Mus musculus: one gene and its partner. The protein of the gene in region 1 interacts with the protein of each later gene in a pairwise test. Links are inferred from orthologs where the notes say so. Each region holds a gene or a part of one and is shown on either strand. Other genes may lie near its edges.

Evidence for each region.
Region 2: the proteins of Cnot1 (region 1) and Cnot4 interact in a two-hybrid assay, tested with the Homo sapiens proteins (3 studies listed by BioGRID and IntAct, with this or other methods). The link is inferred for Mus musculus from reciprocal best matches to the Homo sapiens genes CNOT1 and CNOT4.

The regions. Positions count from the first base shown.
Region 1 is NC_000074.6:95,739,680-95,748,624, forward strand, and holds part of Cnot1 (CCR4-NOT transcription complex subunit 1), read right to left. Parts: intron 8,721-8,945; coding exon 8,580-8,720; intron 7,474-8,579; coding exon 7,294-7,473; intron 6,517-7,293; exon of another isoform or gene 6,381-6,516; intron 6,013-6,380; coding exon 5,896-6,012; intron 5,375-5,895; coding exon 5,264-5,374; intron 4,962-5,263; coding exon 4,884-4,961; intron 4,712-4,883; coding exon 4,534-4,711; intron 3,556-4,533; coding exon 3,425-3,555; intron 2,399-3,424; coding exon 2,102-2,398; intron 1,391-2,101; coding exon 1,250-1,390; intron 1,156-1,249; coding exon 1,051-1,155; intron 249-1,050; coding exon 129-248; intron 1-128.
Region 2 is NC_000072.6:35,075,211-35,084,155, reverse strand, and holds part of Cnot4 (CCR4-NOT transcription complex subunit 4), read left to right. Parts: intron 1-3,929; 5' UTR 3,930-4,021; coding exon 4,022-4,195; intron 4,196-5,977; coding exon 5,978-6,175; intron 6,176-8,945. UniProt on the Homo sapiens protein: Has E3 ubiquitin ligase activity, promoting ubiquitination and degradation of target proteins. Involved in activation of the JAK/STAT pathway. Catalyzes ubiquitination of methylated RBM15.

The DNA of each region.
Region 1 (8,945 bases):
TCTAACAAAGATCAGTTGTAACCAATGGCTTCCATTTTCCTACCCGGTAACAAGCTCCCCAGCAGAAAGCAATGCACTATTAAATTGTATTCCACAACACAAACAAGTTAATCAAATGAGGTATTTACCTTCATGGGCTGAGCTAAAAACCCTGTAGGCTGACTTAAGTCATTTGTAGGTAAGAAGCCAGGCACATTTCGTGCAAACTCTTCATAGACGGCTAGCTGCTTTGGGTCCACACCACCAACCTTAAAAGAAGAAAGCCTTTTTTGGGTAGAATTCACTTCACAATCAAAAGAAACGGATTATTTTATTTTGAGGTGGAAGAGTTGAGATGGAGTCTCTCTCTGGTAATAGAACTCACTAGATCAGGCTGGTCTCAAACTCAAGAGATCCTTGCTTCTCCCCACCCCCACCAGACCCCCTGCTAAAATGCCCAGCTAAAACTTATTTTCTACAAGTGATAAGCTTGCACAGAATTCTGATACAACAGTTAATACAACATATGCCAGCATTCATGCCAACAGATCACAGAAGAGGTTTTCTCATTTTCCTGTTAGAGTCAGTGTCACTTACAGTCATTAATAATTCCTTACTGGAGTCCCTATAACAGCACTGTCTGCAGTCCCTGCCCCGGCACTTGGGACTTAGTAGAGACCAGATGATTATAAGTTTGAGGCAGTTTGGTCCACATGGAAGCCTTGTCTCAACAACAATCGCTAGGAAATGCCTCAAGAGGAGACTGCCATGGAAGTCTCCTCTCCCTTGGGGTAAATAGTATCAAACCCTCACCATCTTGTTGGGATCAATAAGGAGCTATCAATAAAAAGATAAATACCAGAAAATATGAAAAGGCAAATTTAAGTTGGGAAAACACAACTTCAGTAGTCCATGCACTCTTTTTATCCTTGCTAGGAAATGTGAAAGTGAGCTGCTACCAGAGATGCTCCTTCAGCAGCAGCATATAGATGCACAGTCCTTAGGAGGGGTTCATGCAACAGTGACAGAGAAAGAGAGGGGAAGCAAGGAGGCAAGAGCCTCAGTTCTCACTTTCAGCCTGATCTGCTCCGGCATCCGCTCGGCTTGGTAGGTTAAGACCACAGGATCACAGTACCTACGTCCTTCTTGCCGGGCATGCTTCCTCAGCTCAAATTCCTACAAATACAAAACGTCACTGAGGCTCTTGTTATGAGACACTTCCTCAGACTCAAAGAAACCACAACCTTACAGATACACACTAAACACTTACAGTTGCCAATCTCTTGTCCATCTCAGGGCCTGCTTTCTCCACTGCAGTTTTCTGAATAAAACAACAAGCTAATTCACAATTGTCCTGAGCTAACTGAGCAGCAGCCTGGTCCATCATTTCCCTTTGCTGTGGGGATGCAGTCTATTGAGAACACAAGACAAAAGAAAAGAGCAATTCTAAAATGTACAACAGGAAATGCGGTATGGTCAACAGGTCATTCCATATTCTGGTACTACCTATGTACCAGCAGAAACCTACAAATATTCCTAATTCATTCACATATAAGATGAAAATACTTTTCAACATTTCATCAGGTTGTGGTGAACATACTGAACAATTTGTGAACTGTTAAGAAGCAAGAATTCTTAAATCTGATACCCACAACTTCAAAATGAAAAATTACTTGAAGTGATAAAAGTAAAGTAACTATATATTATAAACTATTAGTCCAACTGCTGTAATCTAAATTCATCTATGTTTGAGATGCTGGCTCCAAACTAAAAAAAAAAAAAAAAAAAGTCCTCTTCTCTTGGGTACTGCTGAGTATCTGACAAGTAACACTGAGCACAGAACTACATAAAAAAGAAGCAAACGCAACACTTTGCCTTAACACAACTTAGAATCTAAAAGACGCCAGAGGCTGGAAGTATCCTTCAGTGCTAAGGAGTTTGCCCTAACTCATTCTCATTCATTCATTCACATTCATTCAAATTCTCTCTCTCTCTCTCACACACACACACACACACACACACACACACACACACACACACACACACACACACACACACAGCACAGGCCCAAGCTCTTACAGACCAGTAATACATTTTATAGTACACAAAACAGTCTGCTTACACGCAGGGCTGAGGCAAAGCTGTTTTTGAGGTTGGTGGATATGCTCATCAGTAAAGGTTCCCTGCAAGTAATCATAGCCATTCCAGCTGTCAAGTTCCGCATCATGTGATGAGCTGCTATTCTCATTCGAGACTCCTCAGAATCCAGGGCAAAGTCCTTTCTGACTATCTGTTCGCACGTAGTCATAGCAATCTTAATTGAGCGATCCACCACAGGATGGACAAGCTCCTGGACAGCTCTTTCAATTGCTTGCCGCACACACTGCTTCAGCTGAGGATGAGCTTGAAATAAAGGGATCTGGAAGGAGGAAACAAGGCACAAGTCACATCTGACTCTGGTACTCCTTCAATGCTACAGAAACCACAGAGTTCACATAAAACTAACAAAGCCCCAGGAAACAGAACCTAGGAAGAAAAGAAGTCAGTATAACCTGTGATCTGTTTTTATCTGTTTAATCCCCTTCAATTTTAACAAGCTCATTAAACAAATAGTACTTGCTTATAGACATATGACTTTCTAAGTTAAAGTTATAGCTAAATTATCCGTTAGGAAGGCAGTATCAGCAGACGGCTGGCTGGTGAAAAGCACTCGCTGCTCTTGCAGAGTCCCTGGGCTATGGTTCCCAGCACCCCCACTGTGTAGCTTCACAATAGTCATAACTCCATTTCCAGATCTGCTGCCTCAGGCACACATGTGGCTTATACATGCATGCAGGCAAAACATTCCTATACATAAAATAAAGCTAAATGTAAAGACTTTGATTTAAAAATTATATATACAAACTGCATTCTGCCAAAAGAAGTAGCTTTAAATAGCAGGCCAAAGTGGCATGATAATGAAGGCCAAAGGAAAATACTATAGTATACATCAAGAAGAATCTCTTTTTATTGCTGGCATAATTAAATCACTGTGGGGTAGGGTTAAGAGTAAAAAATAGAAATCCTAACCGCTTAAAATGTTTGCCTATTGTAATATACACATTATAGATCCCCTACTTTTTAAAAAAATATCCCAGGGGAAAGCTGGTAAACAGGGAAGTAAGTAACCAAGAGTTCACTGCCACAAACTAGAAGTCAAAGCATTCTGGGGCTGCAGAGATGGCCCAGCGTTTAAGCACTTGCTGCTCTTGCAGAGGGATCAGGATTTGATTCCCAGAACCAATATGGTAGCTCACGCATGACCACCTGTAACTCCAATTTCAGGAGAGCTGATGTTCTTTTCCGATCACCTTGGGTACCTAACAAGCATGTAGTGCACAGGCATGCATTCAGGTAAAACACATAAGTCAATCTTTTAAAAGAAGAAGGATAAGTTTTCACTCACTGTAGGGTTTAGAGTAATATGAGGTGCCAGGCCTGCTAGAGAGTAGACATTGATGTCGTGGTAGCTGTACTGTGGCTGTGGTGGAACTGTGGCTGTACACGTAGTACTGGTAGCTGGTGTTGTAGAAGTTGCTACATGTAAAGTAAAGTAAAAGATAAAAAGCACATTTATCGACTGAACAAAGAAATCAGCTGGATAATAAATGGATCTTATCTATTTAAACTATGTCTCAACTCTTGAGTAGGGGCAGCTAATGTCATATTTTTCCCATTTTGAAAAAGAAATTCTGCTATTGTATGACATATGAGCCGGTCTATTAGTGGCAATGTCTACAGCACAGGAACATTTTCAGGATAATCCTGTATTAGGCAGGCCAAGCTTCCAATATCTGGCAGTGTTGTGGGTACATGTTCTCAACCTAGCCTTTACCAGGCTCATTTGGGATTTGTCAGATGCCAAGAGAAGGCTGGTGGGAGAAGAGGTGTTGGGTGCTGGTTGGCATATTCTACCAACTCCTCACCTTTAATATAACTACATCCAACTCCCAAAGGCAATCCCACCATCACCAGGGAGTATGTGTGCCTGTGTGTCTCACTAGTGAGTGCCAGTGCGTCTCTGTCTGTCTGTCTCTCCCTCTCTGTGTGCACATTGTGCGTCTGTGGAATGATTTTTAAACAGGGTCCCAGGCTGGTTCAAACTCATGTAGCTTAAGTTGTCCTCAAATGCACAATCCTCTTGCCTTTAGTTTCTTAAGATTAGAGCCCTGTACCTCTAAACCTCTTGTCTTGATGCAGATAAGATTGTCCTTGTAGGCATGACTGATCTGGCAAACCCTGGATTTTAAGAAATAATGTATACTATTATGTCATTCAAGTACTGTGATACTTAAATGTTTTGCAAGATAAGCTAGCCAGGCTATGATATAAGAACAACTCATCTACTCATAATTGCTTAAAATTATCTTAAGAGATAGTGAGACGATCTAGTAAGCCTATCCTTAGATGCTGCTCACACTTGATAATCAGATGGCTCACAGTGTGGGGTGGTTGCTAGGTGGCTTATGAGGAGTGGTGTCATCTGAGAAGGATCTGATGAACTTGTGCACTTACTTGTTGTTGTGATGGCAGGAAGCTCTTCGGGCTGCTTGACATCTTTCTTTGGAGCAGAGAGTTGCTCATCTAAGTTCTTCAGACGATCTTTATCTTTCAGCAGGTTTCCAGGTTTGAGCTCATTGATGTCTAATGCAAGGTTCTTACAGAGCACCTCAATCTCAAACTTCAGGTTTAACTGCATGATTCCAGTATTTAATTAGAATAAGAGAAAATTTGAGCTCTGTCCATAATATATCCTACAATTCAATCCACTGGTGCAATGACCACTGCCTACCCCCTGTACTGGTCTATCTTTACATTAAATCATCTGAAGGCCCAGAATCCTCTGAGAGAGGCAGCTCTTTTACCTTTAAGTCATGCTCCTGATGCAGCTCAGCCAATACATTCATAATTGCCATTGTCCAGGGGTTTGGTGGTCTAAAAACCTAAAGAAGAGCTATGATATTAAGGCAGCCTAAATCAAACCTTTACTCTGTATTATTCCAACAAGTAAATAAACATGACAGTGACAAAAGCCCCATTCTTAGATACAACCCATTCCAGAAAAACACAAAACGGAGTGGAAAGCTGATCCACTCAGCCTCTTCACCTAACTTAATGTGTAATAATCTAGGACCAACTAAGGAAGATTGTTCAACTAGCTCTATGTGCACAAGAATAAAGCTCTGATCTTTTGGTATTGTGTGAGCAGCCTCTCACCAATTCCCCAGGACTAACATTTACTCACCAGGCTGCGAATGCTGGACTCTAGAACTTTGGCAACAAAGGGCACCACATAGAGCAACTCTTGCTGTCCTTTAACGTAAGCCTCTAACAGCAAAGATTTCACATCCAAGTCCTAGAATTTTAAAACAAAACATTTGAGAAGCTGATGTTCTTCTGTTCCAGAAGTCCTCAGGGAAAAGTAAAATAAAATAAGAACCTAAGAATAGTATCTCATGGCCTAGTCGGCCATCACTGGGAAGAGAGGCCCCTTGGTATTGCCAACCTTATATGCCCCAGTACAGGGGAACGGCAGGACCAAGAAGTGGGAGTGGGTGGGTTGGGGAGCAGGGCGGGGGGAGGATATAGGGGACTTTCGGGATAGCATTTGAAATTTGAAATATAAATATATATATATATGCGCAAAAAGAGAAAAAAAAGAATAATATCTCACTAAAAGCTCATTTGCCAACATACATTATCTGATTCTTGCCCGACAAAAAGCACACCCACTGGCTTTTCTGTATCCTAAAAGAGCCTAAGAGACCACGAGCACAGAAATAAGAATTCAAACATGGTCAAAGACATAAAATCCCAGTGACAATTAAAACATTTCTTATAGCCAAGTTCAAAACATATATCCATCTTAAAACTCACTGTGTGTAAGATGGGTTTATTTTTAGCTAATGTGATCATTCCTAACCAATGTCCCAAGTTCTTCAGCAAAGAACGATCTGAGAAATTGGCCGCAGCTTTATCAGAAGTCAGCAGCACCTGCGATAATACAGAATTTATAAATAAGTGAATAAGCATATAAAAGAAATTCTCAATTTCGTATTTGAGAGTTTCCCTGGCCTCTCTAAAAGAAATCAATTCTGAGCACCTACCCAAAGCAGACCTATCCCGTGTATCCCATTGGTATCTTACTGCATGCATTAGCAAACTGTCGATACTACCTTTGAAACAGGTTTTAAAGAGCTCACGAGGTGGAATACTGATCTACCATGTCTAAGACCCTGAATCTGAATCCCAGCATGACAGAGAAAGCAAACAAATGAATGGTTGTTGTTTGCCTCAGAGTACGTAGGAAATTCCAAAGACTACAGAACTCCTTCCTAGAAAAGATAACGCAAGCTGTACAGTCATGTCCCTTAACTCCATAAAGCAACAGCAAAATGGCATCAGTCAGCTGTGCTACAAGGAGCCAGGAATTCTTTTTGCACTACAGCGTAACCAAGAATGGGGAAATTTCCCATACATAGGTTTAAATATAGTGCTAGTTCCTAAGCCAGCCCCAAGTTACTCAGAAATGAAAGACCCCATCTCCATCCGGTTTGCACTGTTTCTTTACAAAGCTTCATATTTAAAAATAAATGGTAGATTAGAAATAAAATAGTTGAACTTTATGGAACAAGTATAAGAGTTTGGCCTTATACCACATAGGATCCCAGAACAAAAAGCTATTTCAAATAGGACTGAAATCGAGATATCTTGACATTCAACCAGCAGAATGAGTTTTTCTGTAAGACCATTTATTAAAAACAAGGATAGAGACCTGAGAACTTGTACCTAGTCTCCAAAGATAAGAAAGAAGTGGTCACACACGCACTCACACATGCATAGACACAACTCACACATGCATAGACACAAGTCAACAAGATGCCATGCCACAAAAATACTGAGTATTGTTCCTTATCACAGAAAAACCTATTTTAAAGAGGGACTATACTTACATAGGGTTATGTCTAAATGATTAGATTCTTGGTCCAGTAAGATGATTGGGCAAGTAAAAGTGACAGTTACCAAACTAACATTCTGATATTCTGAGTTTGAAAACCGCCCCTGAAAGCTATCCTCTGAGCACAAACATATGTATGACAATCGCACAAATACGATTTTACAATGTTCATGAGGCCCAATAGTATCATTCCAAACCAAACCTATGGCACTCTCCATGGACACCTAACAGAGAGCACAGAGAAAAACACAAACCTTCCCATGTTCCACCTGCAAGATCAACTTTAAAGCTGAAGGAAATGTAAGAACTCTTCTTACTTTAATGTTTCTGTAGGTTTCATTCAGAACCATCTTGTTAAATTCAGGATTCTTCAATGTATCAAGAAAGTTTGAATACAGGCTATGAAAGTTTGGCTCAATACTGACTCTTTTCATAACCAGATACTGGGAAACCCAAGGCATAAATTCTTCCTTCACAGTTTCTTTAAGCTCTTCAACCTAGCCAATCAACATGACAAAGCAGTAGAGAATTAGTATTTAAAAACAAAAACAAGAACAAAAACAAAACAACAACAGATAAAATGAAGTCCAGGTTCTCTGAATCACAACACACAGCATCTGGCTTGGACTTCCTCATGACACTTTAACAACAAATAATCTTCAGACTTTAACAGATGATATGTGCTTCTTTTAAAGTCAGGGTTTTCCTATGCAATAGCTCAGGCTGACCTCACTTAAAACTCTTCATCTTTCCCTCAGCCTCTCAAGTGCTATTATTACAAGCTTACACCACAAGGCCCATCATGTTAAAGTTTCAGAAAAACCTACTTGCTCTTTTTTTTTTTTTTGAGGCAGGGTCTCTCTATGTAGTCTTAGGTGGCTTAGAACTCACAATATAGACCAAGCTAGCCCCAAACTCACAGAAACCCACCTGCCTCTATTTCACCATGTGTCACCATGCTCAGCCTAAAAGCCACTGTCATTTTGAAGTATTATTTTAGGAGGCAAGCATCATTCCTTATTCTTTTCAAAGCTCTACCTCAAGGTGCTCATGGGGTATAATAAGCAATTAAAGTAGTTTCTGGAGGAACATAAAACAAAATTTTCCATCAAACATAGGCATGGTGGTATGTACTTTTAACCCCAGCACTTGGGAGGCAGACAGAATCTAGAGGCCATCCGGGTTAACAGTGAGCTCCAGGCTGGTCCAGGCTAGTTAATGAGTCCTTGTCTCAAAGCAAAGAAGGAAAAAAAATAACACTTCCCTTCTCAGGAGAGCATAACACTATTTCAAAAGGCTACAACTCACTGCAAAACAATACTGTAACTAAGGATACTGTTTAATTCCTATAAAAATAATCTTTAAAAAAATTTTTGAAGTCATGTGCCACCACACCCAGCTAAAATCATACCTTTTCGACTGAGTTTGTGGGCTTTTAATTTTAGAAAGGGTCTGTTACCACTGTGACAGAAAAAGCTAGTCTCAGACTCCTGATGCTCACGGCAGCTTCCTGACTTACTGGATTCAAAACAAAACAAAAAACCAATCCCGCCATTCATCAAGGAGAAGGAGAGGGCATTTCATGTCATTACATCATGCTTACCTTCTGTGTCATATTTGACTGGGAGAGATTGTTGAAAATAAAAGCAATTTTCTCTTGAATATTTTCTGGGGGCTCCACAATCCTCTCAGTTTGATCTGTGGCCACAAGCAATGTATCGATATTTGTTGTATTTATAGAAGGCTAGAAGTAATAATATGCACTGTTAAAGAAGCCGAGGTGTTTCATTGGAAAATCCTAGAAAACAGAAGTGCTGGCAAGTGTTGCCTCATAACCCAGCCTACGTTCAATCCCTGGGACCTGCACGTCAGAAGGAGAGGACTGCTTATCACCTCTGACCTCCATACACATCATAGCACACAGACATACAAACTAGACAATAAGATATAAAGACAATAAATAAAACAT
Region 2 (8,945 bases), on another chromosome or scaffold:
AAGTAGATAACCTTATTTTTGCTGTATGTGAATTCTGTCTCAAGGTTACATTTCTTCATTCCCCCTTCCTGTGCTTCACTGAGCCAAAACAGTTAAAAAGGTAGGGAAACAGCGTTCACTCTCACGTCACTCAAGTGGAGGCAGGATGTCAATCAGAAGACTAAACCACCAACCAAAGAGTACACATGGAGGGACCCATGGCTCCAGCTGCATGTGTAGCAGAGGATGGCCTTGTTGGACATGAATGGGAGGAGAGGTCCTGAGAAGGCTCGATGCCTCAGGATAGGGGAACGCTAGGACAGGAAAACAGGAGTGGGTGTTTGGTGAGCAGGGGGAGGGAGGATGGAATAGGGGGTTTTCGGAGGGAAATCCAGGAAAGGGGATAACATTTGAAATGTAAATAAAGAAAATATCTATTAAAAAAAAGAAAAAATATTTTGATTAAAAAAAAAGGGATGGATCTACAGTAATAGCTTACTAAAAAGAAAAAGCGCTTAATTGGCAGCATACTCTGTGATCAAAATGGTTTAAAACAAACAAAAACTGCTTTGGAGGTTCATGCTAGAGTTACTGATACCCTGATGTGAGACAGGATCAATCCTTGTATGTAGCCTTGCTGTCCTGGAACTCAGCGCAGCCCTCCTGCTTTTCCCTTTTGATGGCCTATGGGTGTGTGCCAGCATATCATGGTGTGGGTTCTCATCACCACTCCAGGTCTCACTAGTTGCTTCTCTTGACCTCTTGGTCTCAGAAAATCCTCTGGGCTTCAGGTTCTCAAGTCTTTGTGACCACAGGCAGGCACCATATTTAGTGTTTCTTGAATTAATATTTTCCATTTTGTTCATTGCTACTGATAAACTGTAAACTGATATAAGCAACAATACTTATAAGAACAAATTTCTAAGTTCAGGAAAAAGGAAAAATTGTCATTACCTGGACACAGTTCTTTCAAGTACAGAGTTGGTTCCATTCTTACAGACTTTTAAACAGGTATGCCCTTCTTTTATGTTGCTTCTCTGGAATCCACTTGTTATTTTTTTCTGAATTGAAAATAACTGATACAAGCAGCTTTCTCTTTTAACTTGCACAATTGTGGTAGAAAGCTAATTAGTAGTACTACACTTATTAGTCTTTGCTTTAATTCTGTGCAGATTTGATTTTATCTTATCAATAATACTTTCATCAAGCTCAGCCTTTAATTTCTTAAACTCCTAGCTGCCTTCTGAGAGGACATTAATAAGGGCTTGTTGATTGTCAATTATACGTTTGCTTTTTTGGTTTGATTTGGTTTGGTTTGGTTTGGTTTGGTTTCGGTCTCATCAATCCTTTTATTCTTTTTTGTTTTTTAGTTATAAAGTTCTAATGTTTTTCCTATTAGAAAAGCATGTATTCATTTCTACAAGTTCAAAAATAGAAGAACACTTAAAGAGGAAGCAAACTGTCTCTGACCCTATGAATAAATAACACATACTATTTGCATGCATTTCTTGTGAGTCACTTCTTTAGGATTTTCATTCCTTCATACATAGTTCTAGAAAGCTGTAATTTGCAGTATGTGTCTGTAGTGCAATATAAATAGATGCAGTCTTTTAATTCAAGCCAAGTTTATATATACAGGGCTTATTATATAGAGAAAGAGTTAGATAGTAATTTTCCAGCTTGTTCTTTTTAAAACCTTAATAAAGAATAGATCTCTAAGTCAGCTTAAACAAACTTACTAAATTGATGTGTCTTTCTTTCTTTGTTTTTTAAAAGCCAGGTTTTCATACTATAGCCCTATAGCAGCATTCCTGTATCATCCCTGCCTCTACTTACTCATGCTGGGATTATAAGTATTCCCAGCTTTATTGCTTCATCTAACAATTAATCAGCTCCCCTTTGGTGGATGCTATATTGGCAGTATTTTGCTCTGATATAATGATTGCTGAACATAATATATTTGGTATATGTAAGTATTTATGTAGAAGAGCTTCTTTCATAGGCAGTATATTAAATTTAAAAAGGCCTTTATCTACTTGCTGTCCTTCTGTCTGTCTGTCTGTCTGTCTGTCTGTCTACTTTTAAAGATTTCATATGTGCTTGGTGCCCTCAAAGCCAGAAGAAGGTATTGGATCCTCTGGAACTGGAGTTATGGATGTTTAAGAGCTACTATGTGGGTGCTATGAACCTAACCTAGGTTACTCGTCTTTAATTTTGTTCATGTTATAAGTCAACTGTATCTTTTTATGGAATCTCATTTTGGATGAACTGGGCTTAAGTTGGGGGGAAAAACTAAACTAGTTTTCTAACATTTTAGTAGTTTACTATACCAGATAAGTGTCCAGTCAGCTTTGAGTATTACTTTATTTTATTTATTTATTTTGGCTTTTTGAGACATGTTTCTCTATGTTGTCCTGGTTGTCCTTGGAACTCTCTTGTAGACAAGACTGGCCTCAAACTCAGGCCTGAGTGCTGCGATAAAGACTTGTGCCACTACTGCACAGAGGTTTATTTTATTATAGTGTAAGTTAGAAATGTACCAATGTTTCTTACTATTTATAAAATGATTCATCCTATCTGTATCAATTAGTAGTGTGATTTCTGTTTGAAATTAACATTTTACTATTTATTCATGGGCCTATTTTCTTAGTTTTTAGTTTTTTTTGATGTTTTCTCTACTTTTGTGTAGTAAGAAGTTATAGCTTCTTCTGTTTTTGTTTTTGTTTTTGTTTTTGTTTTTGTTTTCCGAGACAGGGTTTCTCTGTATAGCCCTGACTGTCCTGGAACTCACTTTGTAGACCAGGGTGGCCTCGAACTCAGAAATCCGCCTGCCTCTGCCTCCCGAGTGCTGGGATTAAAGGTGTGCACCACAAAGACAGATGAGTATCTGATAAGGCTAATCATCATATTTTCCTTCAAAAATGACAGTTATTCTCAAGTACTCTTCAGTGTAACCTTTAGAAGCACTTTGTCATATTATGTGTGTTGTTAAAACCATTATGATGTGATTTTGATGAGGAATTACATCAACATGTAGATTAGTTTATAGCTTTTCCAGTTTGACCTGCAAATAGTGATTTCAACATACTTTTAGCATAGAATTGTTAACTGTGGTTCCATAACTTAAAGAGAATTCACATTTCACAAAACATGATTTGAATAAGAAAGACCCATTTGTTCTCTGTCTGATTTCTTACAGGCTGTTTATAGCACTTACTATAGGAATGTTTTATAAATCTATTTCCTTAGCAGTTTCTTTTTACTTGCATAGTATTACATAGTTGTAAACAGTTATGCTATGCGTGTTTAGTTTCAAACTATATTTTTCTGCCAATACCAGATGATATTAGTATGTAACTGTGATTAAACCCCATTTTTATTGGTCCCCTTTGTAAATTGTGATACATTTTGGCATATCATAGTTATGTTTCTTTACATAGGTGGGAGTATTAGCTTTTAAATGAAGGATAGTTCAGTCTGCATGGTTGTAAACTTTTTATTATTATTATTATGAAAGAGCATGAGTATGCTGGCTTGCACATGTCATGGTGTGTGTGTAGAGGTCAAAGGAAAACCTCACAGAGTTGCCTTTCCCCCGGTGTGCTCTGAGGACTGTGCTCAGGTCAGCAGGCTCTTACAGCAAGCAGTTTACCTACAGAGCCATCCCATTGATCTCAGGGTTATGCTGAAAAAACTGAAAGCTGAAGCTGCATCTTATTTTACTTATTTTTCCTAAAATGTGTTATAAGCAGTGTTTAGATCAGCATTAAATGTCTGGAAAAAGAACAGAACTGAGAACCCTTTACATCTCTCTTGCATCTGAAACTTAATAATGCCAGTTCTTTTTTTCTTGATATGCAGAAATTTTCTGAAATCTATCCATGATTTTAGCAAAAAGTTAGTATTTTTCCTGTAGTGAGTGGTATGTTTTTAAATTTCTCTTTTTGCAGGTCTTCAGAGTTCTATATTTTAGCTCTCAGTGCTGAATTACCTTCTCCCTTAAATTATTATAAACTTTTGCTGCTGTCATATAAACGTGAAGATGTCTCGCAGTCCTGATGCAAAGGAAGACCCTGTGGAATGCCCTCTTTGCATGGAGCCCTTGGAAATAGATGATATTAACTTTTTCCCTTGCACCTGTGGCTACCAGATATGCCGATTTTGTTGGCATCGAATTCGCACTGATGAGAATGGGCTTTGTCCTGCATGTAGAAAAGTAAGTGCTTCAAACCCACTGTATTCTGCTTCATAGGTTTGTACTGTCCAGTATGAACTATAATTTTTTCCCCATGAGTATGAGTGATTGGTTTTAAAACAGACATCGTGTGATCTTTAAGAGCAGTGGATTGAGAGCCAAGGCCAGATGTTGCCTTTGTTGTGTTAACTAGCTATCTGGCATCTATAAAGTCATAAAGTCTCTCTGACTAAGGAGATAGACAGTCTTGAAGCTTACTGATTGAGATGATTGGTAAAGAGCTAATGAGTTTGGATATGATAACATGGAATGAGAAAACCATGGTCTGTATTCATGTGTGGGGTGACTGTGCTTTAGTTTTCTAGTACTAAATAAGAGAGGTATTTACCAGGGTTAGGAAGCAGAGGGAGCATTCTGGCACTCAGTTGACCTTTGCCCTTTTTTTATTTAGTTGTGCACCCCAGTCCGTGGGACGGCGCCATCCACATTAGGATAGGCCTTTCCTCCTCAGTCCTTTCTGGAAACACTATTAGAAGCATGCCCAGAGGTGTATCAGATTGGCATTGAAAATTAATCATCATATCACCCCTGGGATCTTTACTTCATTTTAAGTAACTGCCTTTCATTTATTGCATTATTAGTAGTACTGATAACTGATTCTTTAGTACTTATTTGTGTGGGGCATATTTTAACTTTTTACTTCCACAGAAACCCTCTGGCTAAATGTGATTCTCATTTTACAAATGAGAAGGCTAGGTCAGAATGGTCATAAGGTTTTAGAGCAGGTTGGCTGGAATTGAAAGCCTGGCACTCTGATTCCATATTCTTGTTCCCCAGTGACTCTGATATTAGCTGTAAGAAGGAAAATACTTTGTGAGAAGAAAAAGACAAAAACATAAAGAGATTGCTCATAGTTTTTTGAGGGTACAATGATAATTGTTTTATGAGTATTATTTAATCTTTACATCAATTATTAGGATTATTTGTAATTTATACATGAGAATAGTGAGGTTTAGGGACTGAGTTGTTTAAGGGCTTATGACCAGATAATAATAGAACTAAATTTGAACTCTTGAGCCAGAGTCTAAATATTTATGTTCTGTGTTTCTTCCTATTAGACTAGGAGTATATTTAAAAACAGAAAACAGGGCCAAAAAGGATATGGGCTGAAGATGTGGTTTAGTAGGTCAAGTACCTACTATGTATTCCTGAGGACCAGAGTTGGATCCTTAGCATCCATGTAAAAGACAGGAATGTTTCTATGACCCTGCACCTGAGAGTTAGGGAAGAATCCTAGAGCTTCTGGCCTGCTAGGATAGCCACTCACCAGTGAGCTTCAGATTCACTGAGAAACTCTGCCCCAAAGAAATGCTTCCACACATGTATACATACCTGCACATACAAACAAGGAGATAGCTTAATATTGTAGCACATAGTAGGATGTCCTTAAATATTTGTTGATTATAATATACAAAAGTCCATATTTTGTTGAAAGAATTACTTTGTTTGCCTTTTTATACAGCATCTTAGTAACATAATTATCAAAGAACTGTGCAAGGTGTTATGAGAATACCAAGACTGAGTAGTTGGTTTTGTTGCTGAGACATGTGTGTGAAATGTGGTCTCTGTTAAGCTTTAGTACTTTTAAGTTTTATTAAATAAAAATCTAGTTTAAAGCAGTTGAACCTGTCAGAAGAAGGGAAACTAACAATCACACACCTGCTATTCAGAATTGGATATTTATCATTTATTCAGTTTTCTATTTATTTAATGTTGACTTTATCTTGTTTGTTTTATTTATAGCCATATCCAGAAGATCCAGCAGTTTACAAACCACTTTCCCAGGAAGAATTACAAAGGATAAAGAATGAGAAAAAACAGAAACAAAATGAAAGAAAACAGAAAATCTCAGAAAATAGAAAACATTTGGCTAGTGTACGTGTTGTACAAAAAAACCTTGTGTTTGTTGTAGGTCTGTCACAGCGCCTAGCAGACCCAGAAGTAAGTCCTCTTCTGCTTTCCCTGTCAGTGCCATAGTCTTACTGTGTCTGCCCGTCTTATCTGAGAATAATAGTTGGCCCTGGTAAATTCTAAGACTCTTCTGAAAATAATAAAGTTTTGGAGAAAGTATGAATAATAATAATAATAATATTTTTTAATAATGTTTATAAACCAGTTTACAAAGCTAGGTGGTGGTGGTGCACTCATAATCCCAGCACTCGGAAGGCAGAGGCAGGTAAATCTCTGTGAGTTCGAGGCCAGCCTGGTCTACAGAGCGAGTTCCAGGGCATCCAGGGCTACACAAAGAAACCCTGTCTCAAAACAACAAGAAAAATCCAATGACCAGTTGTGATCTTAGGCGTGTCTGAATCTTTCTGTGTTTCAGTTTCCTCGTGAAACTAAGGGCTTGACCTAAAAATCCTTTTAGTGATGGTAGCTTGTGACGTGGTAATGATCCTGTCACCCTTAAGGCTGATATGAGCTGTGACTAGGTTTGGGCTTTTTTGGTTTTTGGTTTTGTTTTGTTCCCCCTTTATCCCTTTCCTGTGGCTGTGTGGACCAATTAACTGAAGACAAAGTTACTTGACCCTAATAGGAAATCTTAACCAGCTGTCCAAGTTGGTGTGTGTGTGTGTGTGTGTGTGTGTGTGTGTGTGTGTGTGTGTGTGGTCAGAAGAGGAGTTTGCAGGACTCAGTTCTCTCCTTCCACTGTGTGGCTTCTGGGGTCAAACTCAGGTCAGCAGGTCCAAGAGTGAGTGCCTTTAGTAGCTGAGCGATCTCAGTGCTCCCCAAGTAGTAACTCTTGTTCATTCAGAACTGCTGTTCTGTGTTATCATTCTTTACTGTTGTCATTCTAAGCTAAATTTAGGGAAAGAAGGAGAATTTGACTAAGTGTAACGAGAGACCAAGTCCTTTGTGGTCCAGTCCCTAATTAGTGGCTCTTAACCTTTCTCTTTCCTCCTTCAGTTAGGCTAATCAAAGTTACTCTGAGCTCATGTTTTCTTGTAGGCTTTAAACATTCATCTGTTAATTTTTAATTCCACTGAAAGACTTACAAGATTGTTGGGAAAGAAAATTGAAGCTTGTGTCAGCTAGAATGTTTGCTTCAGTAGGAGAGCGCTGAATTTGAGGTCTTAAGATGAGTCCTGGAAGTGAGTTTGAGGTCATGCTCCTCATGATGTGAAGGACTGGCTCTGTCTATAGTAGAGCACTCTCTGCACTCTCTTAGGCCATTTCCAGCAGCTTCTTACTAACTGTGGCACATACCTGGCTGGGTAGTGGAGTGCACTTAACACAAGGGTTATTTTTGTTTACAGTTTCTGTCTGAGGTTTTAGTCCATTGTTAGCTAGCTCTATTGCTATGGGCCTAAGGTTAGATAGGTCATCCTGCCAGAAACTGAGTATGACAGAGGGGGATACTCATCTCATGTGGCGAAAAGGCAGAAAGAGGGACAAAGTAAGGCTGGGAACAAGATACCTTTCAAAGGTACATCTCAGAGACCCACTTCATCTGCATGGGACCCACTTCAAATAGCTTGCACTGCCTCCCAGGTCATAGTTTTCATATCTACTGCAGGCCAGGCCTTCAATATATCATCTTCTGGGGGATAACTTCATATCTAACCATAACTGAACCTACTGTCTCTTTTTGTAAAGACTAGAAAACTATATATTCACTGATTGATGAGTTTGTACTAAGGCTTTAAAATTCGTCTGACTCAACAGAGAATCTTAGGGAGCTGTTACTTGGAACAGCCTCATGAGCATTAGAACTGGATGCAGCTCAGTAATTACTAGGATCTGGATCAGCATGATGCCCCAAGAGTGAGAGTGGTTGCTGTGGAAGTCTTATGACCTGGCCTCAGTCCCTGGAGCCCATGGAGTCGTAGAAGGAGAGCATTAACTCTGCCAAGCTGTCCTCTGACCTCCACGCACGTTCCATGGTACACATCCACTCCTCTTTCCTGCTCTCTGCCGTTACCACACACCTAGGATTCTAGGTCCAGGGAATGTGCTGTGTTTTATGTCACAGTCAAGAGACCCGCTTCTTTGCAAAGGGGTTGGTCAAGTACTCATACCTGTAATCTGGACATTCAGGATATTAAAGCAGGAGGGGCATGGGTTTGAGTCTAACTTGGCTACTTAGTGAGTGCCAAGACATCCTGAGCTAAAGAAGTAAGATCCTGTCACAAGGAACAAAAATAAAAAATTTTAAACAGAAAAGTAAATATTAAGGAAAGAGTTCATTTTAGACTCACGATATCACTTCAGCAGTCACTTCTTCCCTTTTGTTTGTAAGCTTCCATTTTTCTGCTTTCTTCAGGCAGACAGAATCCCACCTCTTCTGTGACCACTTCCCTTGAACACGCTAAAACTTTGCTCTAACTTGTCTCTTTGTCCCATTCAATACTGCCTTTAGGAAAATGTTTTATTACTCTGTGTGTGTGTGTGTGTGTGCGTGTGTATGTGTGCGTGTGCGCGCGTGTGTGTGTGTGTGTGTGTGTGTGTGTGCTCGCGCACACGCTTTTGAGGGCATATACACTCAGGATGTGGAGGTGGTTCTCTCTTGCCTTTGCTCAGCTTGGCCAGTGTGCACAGCGAGAGCTCTCACCTGGGGAGCCAGTGCTTGGGCCCATTTGCATCCTTTGTTATTTTTCCCTAACTTCCTGATTACTTTGTCTTTCTGAAATTGCTACTTCAGTAACTTCTTGGGACCTCCATCTTGACTTGAGAGCTTTTGGGTGTGAATTTACCTTTTGTTTCTATATCT